Arabidopsis thaliana: one gene and its partner. The protein of the gene in region 2 purifies or fractionates together with the protein of the main gene of each other region. This does not show direct contact. Each region holds a gene or a part of one and is shown on either strand. Other genes may lie near its edges.

Region 1 (5,158 bases), about 21 Mb from region 2:
TCACTAAAAGAACTGTTATCAATTAAAGAGTGGGTTATAAAGATATACCATATAAGTGCTGAATGCATTTTCCATGCACTCAGAATCCTTTTTTGGCTGGTCTGAGATGAAATATGCAAGTCCCCTCATTTCCTTCCAAACATGCATGAAAAGATGAGTAGTCCGCCCAAATCTTAGCAAAACAAAACAATGGCCCATCGATGATGAACTATTGAAGCAACCACAGGACATAAAGTGAAGAATAATGAAAAATAAACACCAAAAAGCAGTTTTGGTAATATGGCAAGCCTATACTATACGTAAGTTTCTAAATACAAGACGAATATCATATTAAATATAATGCCACAGGAACACCTCAACATTAACATAAATACAAAGATGTGTATCTACCTGAACACCAGCATAGTGTTTCCAAGCTTTATCGATATTATAGTCTGTATATATTAACCGATAGCTTGACAATGCAAGTTCATAATCATGCAACATGAAGGCGTAGTCACCCAAAATTCTAATTTGAGATTCGGTCGAGCTATATGTATACCTTCAAAAGTGGAAGCAAAGTCAGTAGAGCTTATAAATATGTCAAGGTAATCATAAAAGGAGCAGGAGTTCAAGAAAGCATACATAGAACCTTTGGTGGCATCCGGATTATCGTCTTTTCCTTTTCTCCACAAAAAGTTTTTAAATTGATTTTTAAGACCTTTCCTTGTTGCAGAAATCTAGTGACACAACAAAATGCAAACTAAACGATAAGATAAGAGAACAACAAAAGCCTAAGTAAAACACACAGATGACTTGTTAGAGTATCTAAAGCTAACCTGTTGATTAAGTTCTCGAACTTTCTGCTCCATGTAAGGAATTATATGCCTTGAAGCAAACTCTTGCATCAGATCTTTGATCTGCTCCAAATATGCCAGGAAACGAAATATGATAGGTTAAAACATTCAAAACTGTTGAAAGGTATAAATCTAATCAGTAAGAGAATGTTACTCCAGAGCTAGCAGCCAGAAGCCTTTTAAAATACCTCCACAATATCATCACCAGTGAGAGCACATCCAAGTTTGTCGGCCGAAACACTTGATTTCTTTTAAGAAAAATTGATGATCAAGATAATGAACTTACAAAATTGACATGGATTGATGTATGAGACTTGAAATTATGTTGTATAAAAGTTCTGATGAGTGACTTACAAATGAAGCCCAGGGATTAGCCTGATGTTCCACGTTCCCCTCTTTAGATGAATTAGTGCAAAGTAAGTTGCATTCATTATTTCCAAATTGACTTCTCATCTCTGACAGAACTTTAGACGTTCTACAGAAGAAATATCATCTAGTCAACTATAACATTACATTTGACACCCATAAACTTATGACGAAAATCATATCATAAACTTATGATGAAAATCATATCATATAAGAGGGAATAAGGAACAACTACCTCTCTGTTGTTGCATCTTGATTGTCATGCACCAACAAGTAATGCTTCAAAATGTTTGGGTCCATTGTACCATCAGTAGGTAATCTATTGGAGTTGAAAAGATCTACAAATTTTTTTATAGGTTCTTCATCTTTTGATGAAACGACCAATAGACCTGAAAGCACATTTCGAATTATTTGGAACTCAACAGAAAACTCTATGAGACATCATAGATCAGAAAACCTAGTTTAAAGACCTGAAAACAACGATTTTCTAAAATCCATTTAATATCTTACATGCCACAGGATGATCGAAAGCTTCGTGGTCTGAAAACGACAATGTACGTATAAGTTCTTTATTGTAATACCGAAACCATGAGGGTGCAATTTCAGACTCTGGATCTGCAGGGAGCGAAAATACGACAGCATTAGAAAAGCAACAAGTTAGAGAATTCGGCTTCTCAATTATTTAAAAATTGTTAGTGCACGATGTTAAAGAGTTTAAAAAACTTATAAAGGCATTTTCCGCTAATCACAGAAACAAATTTGGAGTAGTGACTTACTAGAGAGTATATCAGTAATTTGAGGAGGGTCAGATTTCAAATCCTGAAAATCCTTCTCCCCAGCTTGAGTAATAACACGTTCTAGCCGTTGCTTAGCAACCTAGCCATAAGTAAATACAATCAAATTTGAGCTCAACACCAAAGATGCAGAATGGAGGAGCCTCAGGCCGTCCTCCACCACAACATAAACAAGTATACCCCTAAAACCAAATCCATCTTCTTTCACTTTACGTTATTCGTAAAAGCAGGTAATGATTTCAATATGTTCAATTAAAGGTGATTCACACTGTTGCTGGGTAATAACTGGTTATCAAGTACCTTAACTATTCAAACGTTAATATATTCAACCGAAGCAACTCTTACATACCTCTACGTTTGGTTGCTTTATATCGGAGGCATAAAACAATCTTAATGTAAACTTCTTTAGCCGATACAGCTGATCGCTCGATGTCCGAACAGGCACTGCACCGCAAAATTCACAATTGGAATCCTCAAATTAGACGTTTCGGATAGTAAACGCGGAACACAATCAACATCAAATCAAGGAATTCACCATCGATGTTACTAAAGTTGCAGAATGGCTTGAGCGTTTCCACAAAGGATAAGCCATTCCTGAGGAAAGTATCTTCAACAAGAGGCGTACATAGAACCATGACCACTGGACTAATTTCCTCCAATAGCATTTTCCCAAGCGAAGAGTTCACCGGCTCCACCATTCTTCCGTTCGCTTAACTAGTCTCTCAAACCTCTTCACTGTGTATCTAATCCGATTTCAGGTCGGATAGATTTTGGAGGCGGTGCGATTCAATAACCTAGATCTCCACCTTTTTAAGCCAATCGGAGCTACGACGCCGTCGTCGGCAGCTGCCGGACTTGATGTAGGTAGGAATGAAGATATCGGTAAATGATGGAGTATGTAGAATGGAGAAAGCAGTCAGTACGGCGTATTAACCGGAGAATGATCGGATGATCGTAATCGGGATCGAGATCGACGTAGAGGGAGAGATGTAGGCAAAGTTCGATTGGAGATTTGGAGGAGAGTCGACGAGCAACATGAAAAAAAAAAAAAAAAAAAAAAAAAACAATTTCCATCTATTTAAGTTATGTATTTGGCCCTATATTTAGGTAAAATTACAATATTTTCCAAATAGTTTAAAAATGTGCTCAATGAGCTTCAGTGATCGATATGGAAACCTAAAGTCATAATCACACCAGAAAATTCAAGACATTTTGGTCATAAAGGGAAGCAAGGAAGGAAAAAACGGCCATCTTCCAACGTAGTGAGGTAAACTAAAAGCATAATAGCAAGTAATCAAGGTAACACCAGAACCACATCTTGAAACTTGGAGAAACAAATATAGTTGATGGAAGAAGCAAAGGTTACATTATGCATTGGCACTAATCAAATTTGAATAGAGATTAAACTCGGGAAATAACAAACAGGATATATATCCAATGGATTTAGCCGCCGAGAAAGCAACATCATCTGGTTTGGTTTCGGGGTCATGTGTAAACAGTCTTGGACATAGCACACGATCATAAAACAACAACTTCTTCTTCAACTTGCTAGTGGCACGACAACGTACCTTAGGGTATTAGGCATATCAACATTTACTACCATATATATAGAATATATTTTGTCCCATGTCTGCCTGAATTGAACGACCATATCACTTGGGTGGGCCACTTCATCTCGGATACGCACAAGCGGTTGTCAAGATTGCACATGACGATCTCCTGAGGATCGGAATTGAGAAAGGGAGCTTTAGAGATGACTTGATAAGCTTCGGTGTGAAGATCAAAAGATGTAACTTTGGTTTCTTGGCACTCAGTGCACCAACGAAGCGACCCATCTACAAAGAGGGGACCAAGGAAATCAACAACACGATAAGGAGCAGCTGGAGTGACATACCTCCAAGCGTTGGTGCTAAGGTCAAAAACTTCGCAGGTGGTAGCGGTTTCTTCTATGCCTATTTCTGTAGAGTTGTATAGCCAAACGGGCTTGTATGTTGCCGCGAATATGCCTTTGCCAAATCCAAGCCTAAAGAGTCCGAGTTTAAGTATGTACAAAACTTCTCATATGTCGATCATGATTTGTTGATATTCGCAAAGAGGAAGAGGACGATACCATCTAGTTGTGGGGTTGACCACAAAACCCGGTTCTTTGGGATGGTAGAGACAAACGAGACCGTCACAGCTATTATATGATCAATGTAGTAGGGTTCCTTGTCCTTCTGCTCCCAAGGAGTAGGGATCCCACGTGCGGGGAGTCGTCATTATATACGGTCACCATGAGAACAACTGGATCTCCTGATTGCTGACGATGCGTCAAGTGTTTTCCTTGGAAGAATTGGGATTCAATTGTTGATTTCCATTGCTTCGATACAGCCTTGAATCGAGGCAGAGAATTCACCGCAAGTCTCTCCAGGATTCGCTCTACTACATCATGTTGCAGCAGCGATTCAATCCTCATGCAACGTTATTCTTGTCTAGTCGTCTCAGTACGTACGTATATATAGTAGCAATTGATGAATAGATAATAGAGTCTTATTTATAAAAACAAGTACTCGCAGACAAATCCGGTTTTGTACTCAACCCTTCCTCGAGGAAAATCTATCTTCGTATTCCCTCTTTCTTTCTCCACACGACACACGACAAAGATCTTCCTTCTCCTAACTAAACATAGAAACATCTTCAAACCCTATCTCTGAATAAGTCTTATTTAAGTGAATACACATCTTTTTGGTATGTTTTGTTTACTTTTTTGAGATTTTGAGTTATTTTCTAAACATTTCTACATTTGAAATATTACTTTATTATTAAAACATAGAAAACGTCTAACCGGTCGGACCAGGATGAACCATGATTCATGACCCGAACTCACACCCGGTTTTGATAAAAGTTTTAAAAGAGACTACTAGACGACAAAAACAAAAACAAAGACTAGTAAATAAATTAAAAAATGACCCGAACACACAGCCGGTTCAAAGTCCGGTTATTAAATCATTGATTAAAAAATTAAAAAACAAAGACTACTAGATGACAAAAACAAAGACCAGTAAAAAACGTTTTAAATATTTTTGCTGTAAAGTGTAAACTACATAAATTGTCTTTACGCAACACACCTCCACTCGCGCAGCCCAACCAAAAAAAAAGGTGCCCTGATTGTTTACTCACCCA
Region 2 (7,514 bases):
CAACAAGGGTTGACAGCTGCAAAGAATCGGGTAAAAAAGGGTTATGCAGGGATGGTAAGGTGAGAAGAATGAAGCGTGTATCATCATCATCATCATCAATGTCAAACCTCACTCAAGTCGAAGACCATAACTAACGCCACCAGTGGATGTGAGTTAGGGAGATTGGGTAGAGAGTATTCATCGCAAATATGTGATATACATACAGAAACATCCGCAGTGTAATACTTAGTGTTAATCGTCCAGCTGCCCACATTTTACAGAGAGAAAAAAGTGTTCAAACGATGAAACTTGTTAGGGTAAGAAATTCTTCAGTACTAGACGTACCCATGAACTTCTGTTTGAGATGATGACTCCGATGAATCCTCAAATTCCACAGAGAGCAATCCTGTGATTGATTACATATTAGAGCAAAACAAAATTTTGAATCGGATCCGAGAGGGAGAAGCGCGTACGAGAGAGGAGGGTGCGCTTGCCGACGCCAGAGGATCCGACGACCAAAACTCCCGGTCGGCTTTCCATCAATCTTCTCCAACTTCGCCCGCCAGTGATCAAGATCCAATCTAAACAGATGCTAATTCTGATTTGTCGTCAAGTGAGAAAAGGCAAACCCAACGTCAAGTGATAATTTGAAGCCCAAATATCAAAAGGCCCAATACAACGAAATATTGAATGTTTTATCTGCGTTAGCTTGACCATGTATGGTCGTTTTAAGCACACACACACTTTTTGCATTGAAAGAAAAACAGTTGCCACAAAACACATCTCAAAACAGATTGTGTCCTAATCCTATGTGTCTAGTTTGGGTTCTCCAAAAAATATCCATTATTATCAACAACAGAAGGAAAAATGAAAATACAACATAGGCGACACTTCAGGATCAAAATTTACCAAACTGATTCAATATGTCTGTCTTAACCACATATGGCTGAAACTGCATAGACATCTGAAAACCCAAGTCATGCGAAGTTACACTACTTGCTGGTAGAGATGGCTTTCTCGGCTTGTGGGGCTGAGGGAAACACAAAGACACTTGAAGCAACCGCAGATGGCTGAAACTCAGCAGCATATCGCGCTGATGTCAAAGTTATCTTTGGGAGTTGCTGTTCACCGCAAGTCAGAGGCACTAGCTTATAACTTAAGACGTGTTCTGACTTGGGAAGGACTGAAACCGTATTGCTGTGAGACCCAGACAGGACAAAACTCTGTGCATCAGCCAGACCAAACTTTGCTTCTTGCAGCAACTGTGTCTGGTTGCAGATTCTAACAGCGTAAGTGAAGGGTTCTCCAAGAATGGCATATGGAGGAGAGTCCAAACTCATTACCAGTGGTGATGCCTCCACATTTACTTCAGGAAGTTTGTGCTTTGTTGAAACATATGCCTCTGTTATGTTACCTCCCTCTCTCCTCCATTTTAAATGTATTGATCCCAAACCAAGCTTTGGAGTTCTCGTCGTTGGTATGACTGTGAAAACCTTTTTGAACTCTTCCCCTGGCGCAAGATTTGCAGAGCTTGGGGAGTCTCCACACCCACCACCCTGCTGAATCAAACATGAAGTTTCCCCTTGTTCATCATCAAATTCAATGGACATGGACACCAGTTTCAGCGCTATTTCTGAGCAATTTTTGGCACTGACAACTAACACACTTTTTTCGTTCAGCGGCAGAGAAGACACGTCTTCAGAATCAGGGGCTGGCTTTATCCTATTGAGCAATAGGTGATCCCTTCTATATGGCAACATAAAACGATTGCTTATTAAAAGAGGCATCTTCCCTTCAATCTGCAAGCTCTTGTGTATGTGAACTTTTTGGGTATTGGCTTCACTGCCATGTGGCAAGTAACCCAATGACACAAAAAGCATCACAGGCTTGGGTCTATGCCACTTGATTTCCAGTTTGCACGACCATGATTCTCCTTCCTTCAGGTATGGAACAGAAACCAGCCCAAAAGATTGCTGAATTTTCTTTATGCTCCCTGTTTCAGACTCGGATTCATTGTTGCCCTCTGCCCCATCAATACCACAGATTTCAACATGATGGCTTTCTAGAGAAAACGGTTCTGCTTCTCTTGGGCTAAACAAACCACCACCACCCACATCAACTAGATTAATCTTCAATTCACCACTGTATACGGCATGACCCTTTGAAGTTACCACGATTGGCATCGCAAAATCTTCTCCAACTAGGGCAGGACCAGAAGCACCTAGACTGACGTCCACCTGTGGTTCGGGTTCATCAACTTGAGTAGCTTTCTGGCCAAATACTGCAAGAACTGGGTCCTTTGTTGGCAGAGATTCAACACGATTTTCATGCTTCCAGACAGGTAAATCCTCCATTGCAGCAGGACTCTCGGCTCTTGAACAGATTGTGAAAAGAGGCCCCAATTTTGCAAGAACTGAAAGACACTCAAGCTTGCCGCTTTGCTCTGCAGATGAAACAAAGAAATGTGTGAAAAGTTAGGCAGCCAAGAAAACAACTTCCCTTTTGCTTTCATAAGATAGATACAAGTTCTGAAGCTTCAGTTTTGCTAATTGGTAACTGAGAATACGAAAACGTCCAAAACAGGTTTGAATTTCAATGAATAACTGCAATACGTGCAAAGTGTGTTAGATACAAACAACACCCTTATAATTAAATCACACTAACCAGACTTGATTGCATATGTCAACCTTAACCAATTATTCGGCACAAGCACCAGCAATGGCGCATTCTCCACTTGGCTACCACTTTTCACAGTGTTAGACGCCGAAGCCCACAGAGGCCTCTGGGAATTTCTGATGACAAAGTTGCATGTAGATTGATTAAACTGAACTTCTAGATGATCTATTTCAACTGGAAGAGGTAAATGAGAAAGTAGTGACAACGTAAAAGAGCACAAAGCGTGAGGCTTGATCATTTGATCGTGAAAAGCAACTGAAGCTAGGAGAACAGGTCTCAGAGGACTGACAAGATCAATCTCGAGATGAAGAGGGCTATCAGTGGCTAATTTGAACCCACTTCCTTCGGTAGATGATAACAGCTCGGCTTCACGACAAACAAGAGTAAAAACTTCTTGATGTATACTTTCTCTTCCTGAAATTGTTGCAGGACCTCCAGGACCATAATTTTTGTTTCTTAAGTTCCCAGAATTCTCATAAGATGTTACAGGCAGGGCAACCATTTCAAGTGAAAACTCTACAAAATCTTTCAAAGCATCAAGGTTTCTCGAACACTCTCGCAGGTAACCCAACACCTCCCAGAGCAAAGTTACCCAACCTTCTTGTCTGTACAAGTTTGCAGCAATATCGAAAAAGAATTTTGCGTTGTTGGGATCAGCCAAATCAAAGTACTCCCGGGCTACTTCAAAGGCACAAAGAGCAGCCATCCTCTGGGCTTTAAGGTTGGTAAATGATTCATAAGATCTCTTCAGCCAAGCAATAATTTGAAGGGAATCCTGAACTCTCTTTGCTTCTGAAATTGTATACCGTGTGTACTCTTCATCCGTTATACTGCAAATACATTAGAATTCATACTATTAGAGATGGTGGTAGCATAATTAGTTTTCTTTTACATAGATTTGTGGGATGAATTATGAACAACTTACGAGTGAAGTGTAATAGCTTCTCCCTTCTCAAGCAACTGAGCGAACTGACCCACATAGACTGAAGGAGTAATAGATGCAGAGCTGCTATCAATCTCTTGAGCTATTTCAGACATTGACAACAACAGTTCCAGGGCAGATTTCTTATCCTTCAAGTAATGAGCAGCCAACTGCGTGTAAAACGAAAATTTCCCAGTGGATAAGAACATATTATATTTTCAACATACTGTACCTAGGAACAGACAGCTCAGAAATTTATGAGAAAGAGGACGAAAAATCCAGCATTTGCTTAGAGGTAGGTGTTTAAGTTTATGTAGTATTGTTTTTAACTAAATGGTAAAAGACACAGAAAAGATTTAACACAAAATGCACCACCAAGTTTAGATATGTTCCGACTATGTGTTACATAGAGCAGAATTGACTGACCTGATAATAATAGGCAGGGTAAAACTCAAACTCAGTCAAAGATATTTCCGCAGTTCCTTGGTTTGAGGATGTTAAGCTCTGACCAGTTGCTGAGCTTGTCTCCAGCAACTCAGCAAAGACAAGAAACTGCCTACTCATCCAGTCCCAATGGAGAAAAATAAATTCTGTGGATCCGACAACCTTTTCATATGATGTTTTATGTTGATGAAACCATGTCACTGCTTCTATGAGTTTTCCACCATGCAACAAAAGCGTTGATATCTTGAAATGCAATTGCTCAGCTATGATTTTGATCTCGACCAAGCGTTGTATTGCAGGCAACCTAGTCGATGTCCCGATCATCTGTTTGCATAAACAAAATTGCTCGTCGAAATTGAATGTGTGGAAACCGCAGGCAAAGATATGTAATAATAAGAAAGCAATGACCATATATGCATCAAAAGGAACTTCTTGACTAGAAGCAGAATACATATTAGCGTGACAGATGGGTTGGGAAAAAACAAAATACTTAGAGATAATAAAGACCTCGTGCAAGGAATGGTATGCGTCTTCATAAAACTTCAGTGCTTCACCCCAATCTCTACGAAACTCTGCATATACAGCGACCTAGCAGTCATGGCATGAATGAGCCTTCCTTTTCCCAGATACTTTGGAACAAAATGATTAGACTTAGCAGAGGTAACGAGAAAAGCTTACTTTAAAACAGTAGCGAACATTCAAATCAAGAGAATTGGAACTCCTTTTCTCAATTCGGCTTTTGATTCTCCGTCCTTCTTCTCTGTAATAAGAAAGTGCCAACTCTGCAAAAGCAGAAGCGAGTCTGCAAACATACCGTGTTGAGATGCATTGAAGGAAAAGCCTCTTGTTCTAGGTGCAAAGTAAAAGAGGAGAGAAACATACCTGGAGAGAGAGAGCGTGAGTTCAGAGACTATGCTGGAATTGAAGAAGAGCACGTACTTAGAATCTAATTCTGCCCGCTTTCGCAATGCCACCAGACGATCGTCGCTAATGTCCTCTAAAAACAAGTCGGGAAGGAGTAAGTCACCAGTAGTTCCGAGAGGAAAATGAAAAGAATAATCGGATAAAATGCGCTACCGTGGGGAGAAGACTGGACCACGACAACCACCAGTTTGATGTTTTTGGGACGGATTACGGATCTAGCAAGCAATTGAGATCGCAGTGTTAATTTGAGGGTTTGAAACAAAGGAGGGGAAACAAGGAAACAAATATAAAGGGAGATGAGGAAATACTTGAGGCTGTCGAGATCGGAGCAGACCTGTAGCCATTGAGTTGGATCGCCGAAGATGTGATGTGAGGGAAAGAAGGCGGCGACAAGTGCAGGGACCTTGGTGCGATGCTTAAGCAACCAGTCCCGTTTCAAAATACCGCCGCATCTGGAAGGAATGGGAGAAGCAGAATCGGAGACGCTGAGAGGATCTCTGAAGGAGGAGGTTCGGCTGATCTGATCATCATGAGCAAGGAGGAGAGAGATTTGAGAGAAGTCGGGGAAGGCCAGAGCGTTGATGGGAGGCTGCTGGGAGTGGAGATACTTAGTAATGGACGCGTGTAGCTCCGCGTATCCGAAGAGAGCCACCAGACTTACCGGTGGCGTCCTGAGCTCTTCCGGGTATTCCTCCATCTCGCCGGGGAGTGTCTGAGACTCGGACGCGTTGAATCGAGCAAGGAAGGATCTGACACATTCATTTTACGTGGGCTTTTAACGGGCCTTTGGATAAGGGAATGGACTTGTATAGCTGTCAGATTGTTCATCTGGCCCAGAATATGATGTGAAATACTTAATGGGTTTTCAACGGGCCTTTAATCTTTAAGGGTATGAACCACTGCAGTTGTCAGATCTGATTTAAACTAATGTGGTTTCTAAGGATGTAGTATCATCAGGCCCATTATAAGCCCACTTCTTAAAGATGCATCGACTCGTCAAAAAAATAAAATAATACAAAGAATTCGAATTGGTTGCATATACAGAAACATTGGATTTTACAAAATGGAAGAAAGAATTATTGGAAGAGAATGAGAAGCTGTCAAGCGGAGGAGCGGTTGATGAAGTCAATGCAGTCTGCAATTGCATCGGCGTAGAAAGAGTTAGAGCGACGTATAGATGTGTAATCAAGACCGTCTTCTCTGACCAGCGGAGGCCTTCTGCAGCACCAGCTCCTGAGAAGCCTGAAAAAGCTTCTCACTCTCGCACGCAGTCTCTTTGTCTTCTGCCTCAGCCTAATTCCTCTTCCACTCGGCCATCGTATCCTTGCTCTTTCCATCTTTCAACTCTGTTGCATATGCGTCAGATTGTTGAGTTTTCATGTATATGCAAATTATCTATATATCGAGAGGCGAGGGCTTTCATGTCTGACTTTTAGAAGTGGTTGTTGAGAATTTTTGAAGACTTTTTTAATGATTGATCTGGTGCCCACGTGTCATTTTATGCTAGAGGGAGGTGTTGGTTAGTTGGAAAACTAGCTTCCTAACAAAAAAAACACATGTCTAACGTACTCGATAAAAACATATAATCTTCTCATTCATCAAGCATGTTGCAAGAGGGCTTTGAAATTGAGTTTGAAAAGCAAAGTTCCATTTGCTCTATTAACAAAATAAAGCCCATTATTAAAACCAACAGATTACTATAAGGCCCAATATCAACTTCCTAAACTAAGCGGGTGAAGATTTTGTTAGCCATTAGTGGTAATTTCTGATCCCATTGCTGCTCCTCTCTCCGGAGATACAAAGGCGAATCTGACCAGTAAGAAAGATGGCAGTCGAGATGGCCTCTCAGTCTCAGGTCTCTTTCTTGCGTCTTTAATCCGAATCTACGACGATCAATTCTTCGCTCTCTGAATTAATAATATGATCACAGGTTTTGGTGGAAGAGAAATCGAGTGTTAGAATCTTGACACTAAACAGACCAAAGCAGCTGAATGCTCTGTCCTTCCACATGGTATCGAATATTTCCCTTCTTGTACATGCGTACTGTATTGGCTTAGACTCATTTTTTTCTGTAGATCTCTCGATTGCTGCAACTGTTCCTTGCATTTGAGGAGGACCCTAGTGTGAAACTTGTCATCCTAAAGGTAATCATTATCCTTATCTCTTCCGCTTACACACATTTAGTACTGAATAACTTTGCCACAGGGTCATGGGAGAGCCTTTTGTGCTGGTGGCGATGTTGCAGCTGTTGTTCGTGACATCAATCAAGGTTTACCACCCATTCTTTTCTGTTTCTTACTTTCAGCTTTTATACACTCTTTCTCTATCTTCGTTCGTTGACTAGGTAACTGGAGACTCGGTGCCAATTACTTCTCATCTGAATACATGCTCAACTATGTTATGGCCACATATAGCAAAGCTCAGGTCTCGCTATAATTTCGTTTTGTTTTTGTAAAATCACTCCCGAGTGGATAAACTCATCAATTCGTATAGGTTTCAATCTTGAATGGTATCGTCATGGGAGGCGGAGCTGGTGTATCCGTCCATGGTCGATTTCGTATTGCAACTG

The links.
Region 1: the proteins of AT5G65950 (region 2) and AT5G16280 fractionate together in Arabidopsis thaliana (co-fractionation; one large-scale study listed by BioGRID). This does not show direct contact.

Annotation. Positions count from the first base shown.
Region 1 is NC_003076.8:5,328,652-5,333,809, forward strand, and holds the start of AT5G16280 (Tetratricopeptide repeat (TPR)-like superfamily protein), read right to left. Parts: upstream 3,044-5,158; 5' UTR 2,695-3,043; coding exon 2,532-2,694; intron 2,441-2,531; coding exon 2,346-2,440; intron 2,079-2,345; coding exon 1,979-2,078; intron 1,818-1,978; coding exon 1,713-1,817; intron 1,592-1,712; coding exon 1,438-1,591; intron 1,312-1,437; coding exon 1,191-1,311; intron 1,085-1,190; coding exon 1,025-1,084; intron 900-1,024; coding exon 819-899; intron 720-818; coding exon 625-719; intron 542-624; coding exon 391-541; intron 133-390; coding exon 49-132; intron 1-48. Other genes in the region: AT5G16285 (F-box family protein), read right to left, coding at 4,179-4,451.
Region 2 is NC_003076.8:26,378,418-26,385,931, reverse strand, and holds AT5G65950 (trafficking protein particle complex subunit-like protein), read right to left. Parts: upstream 5,810-7,514; 5' UTR 5,643-5,809; coding exon 5,254-5,642; intron 5,161-5,253; coding exon 5,099-5,160; intron 5,019-5,098; coding exon 4,904-5,018; intron 4,824-4,903; coding exon 4,700-4,823; intron 4,610-4,699; coding exon 4,529-4,609; intron 4,346-4,528; coding exon 4,004-4,345; intron 3,748-4,003; coding exon 3,581-3,747; intron 3,486-3,580; coding exon 2,644-3,485; intron 2,423-2,643; coding exon 972-2,422; 3' UTR 597-971; downstream 1-596. Other genes in the region: AT5G65960 (GTP binding protein), read right to left, coding at 1-16, 108-243, 325-385, 453-519; CHY1 (beta-hydroxyisobutyryl-CoA hydrolase 1), read left to right, coding at 6,771-6,800, 6,876-6,956, 7,021-7,089, 7,151-7,214, 7,290-7,369, 7,439-7,514.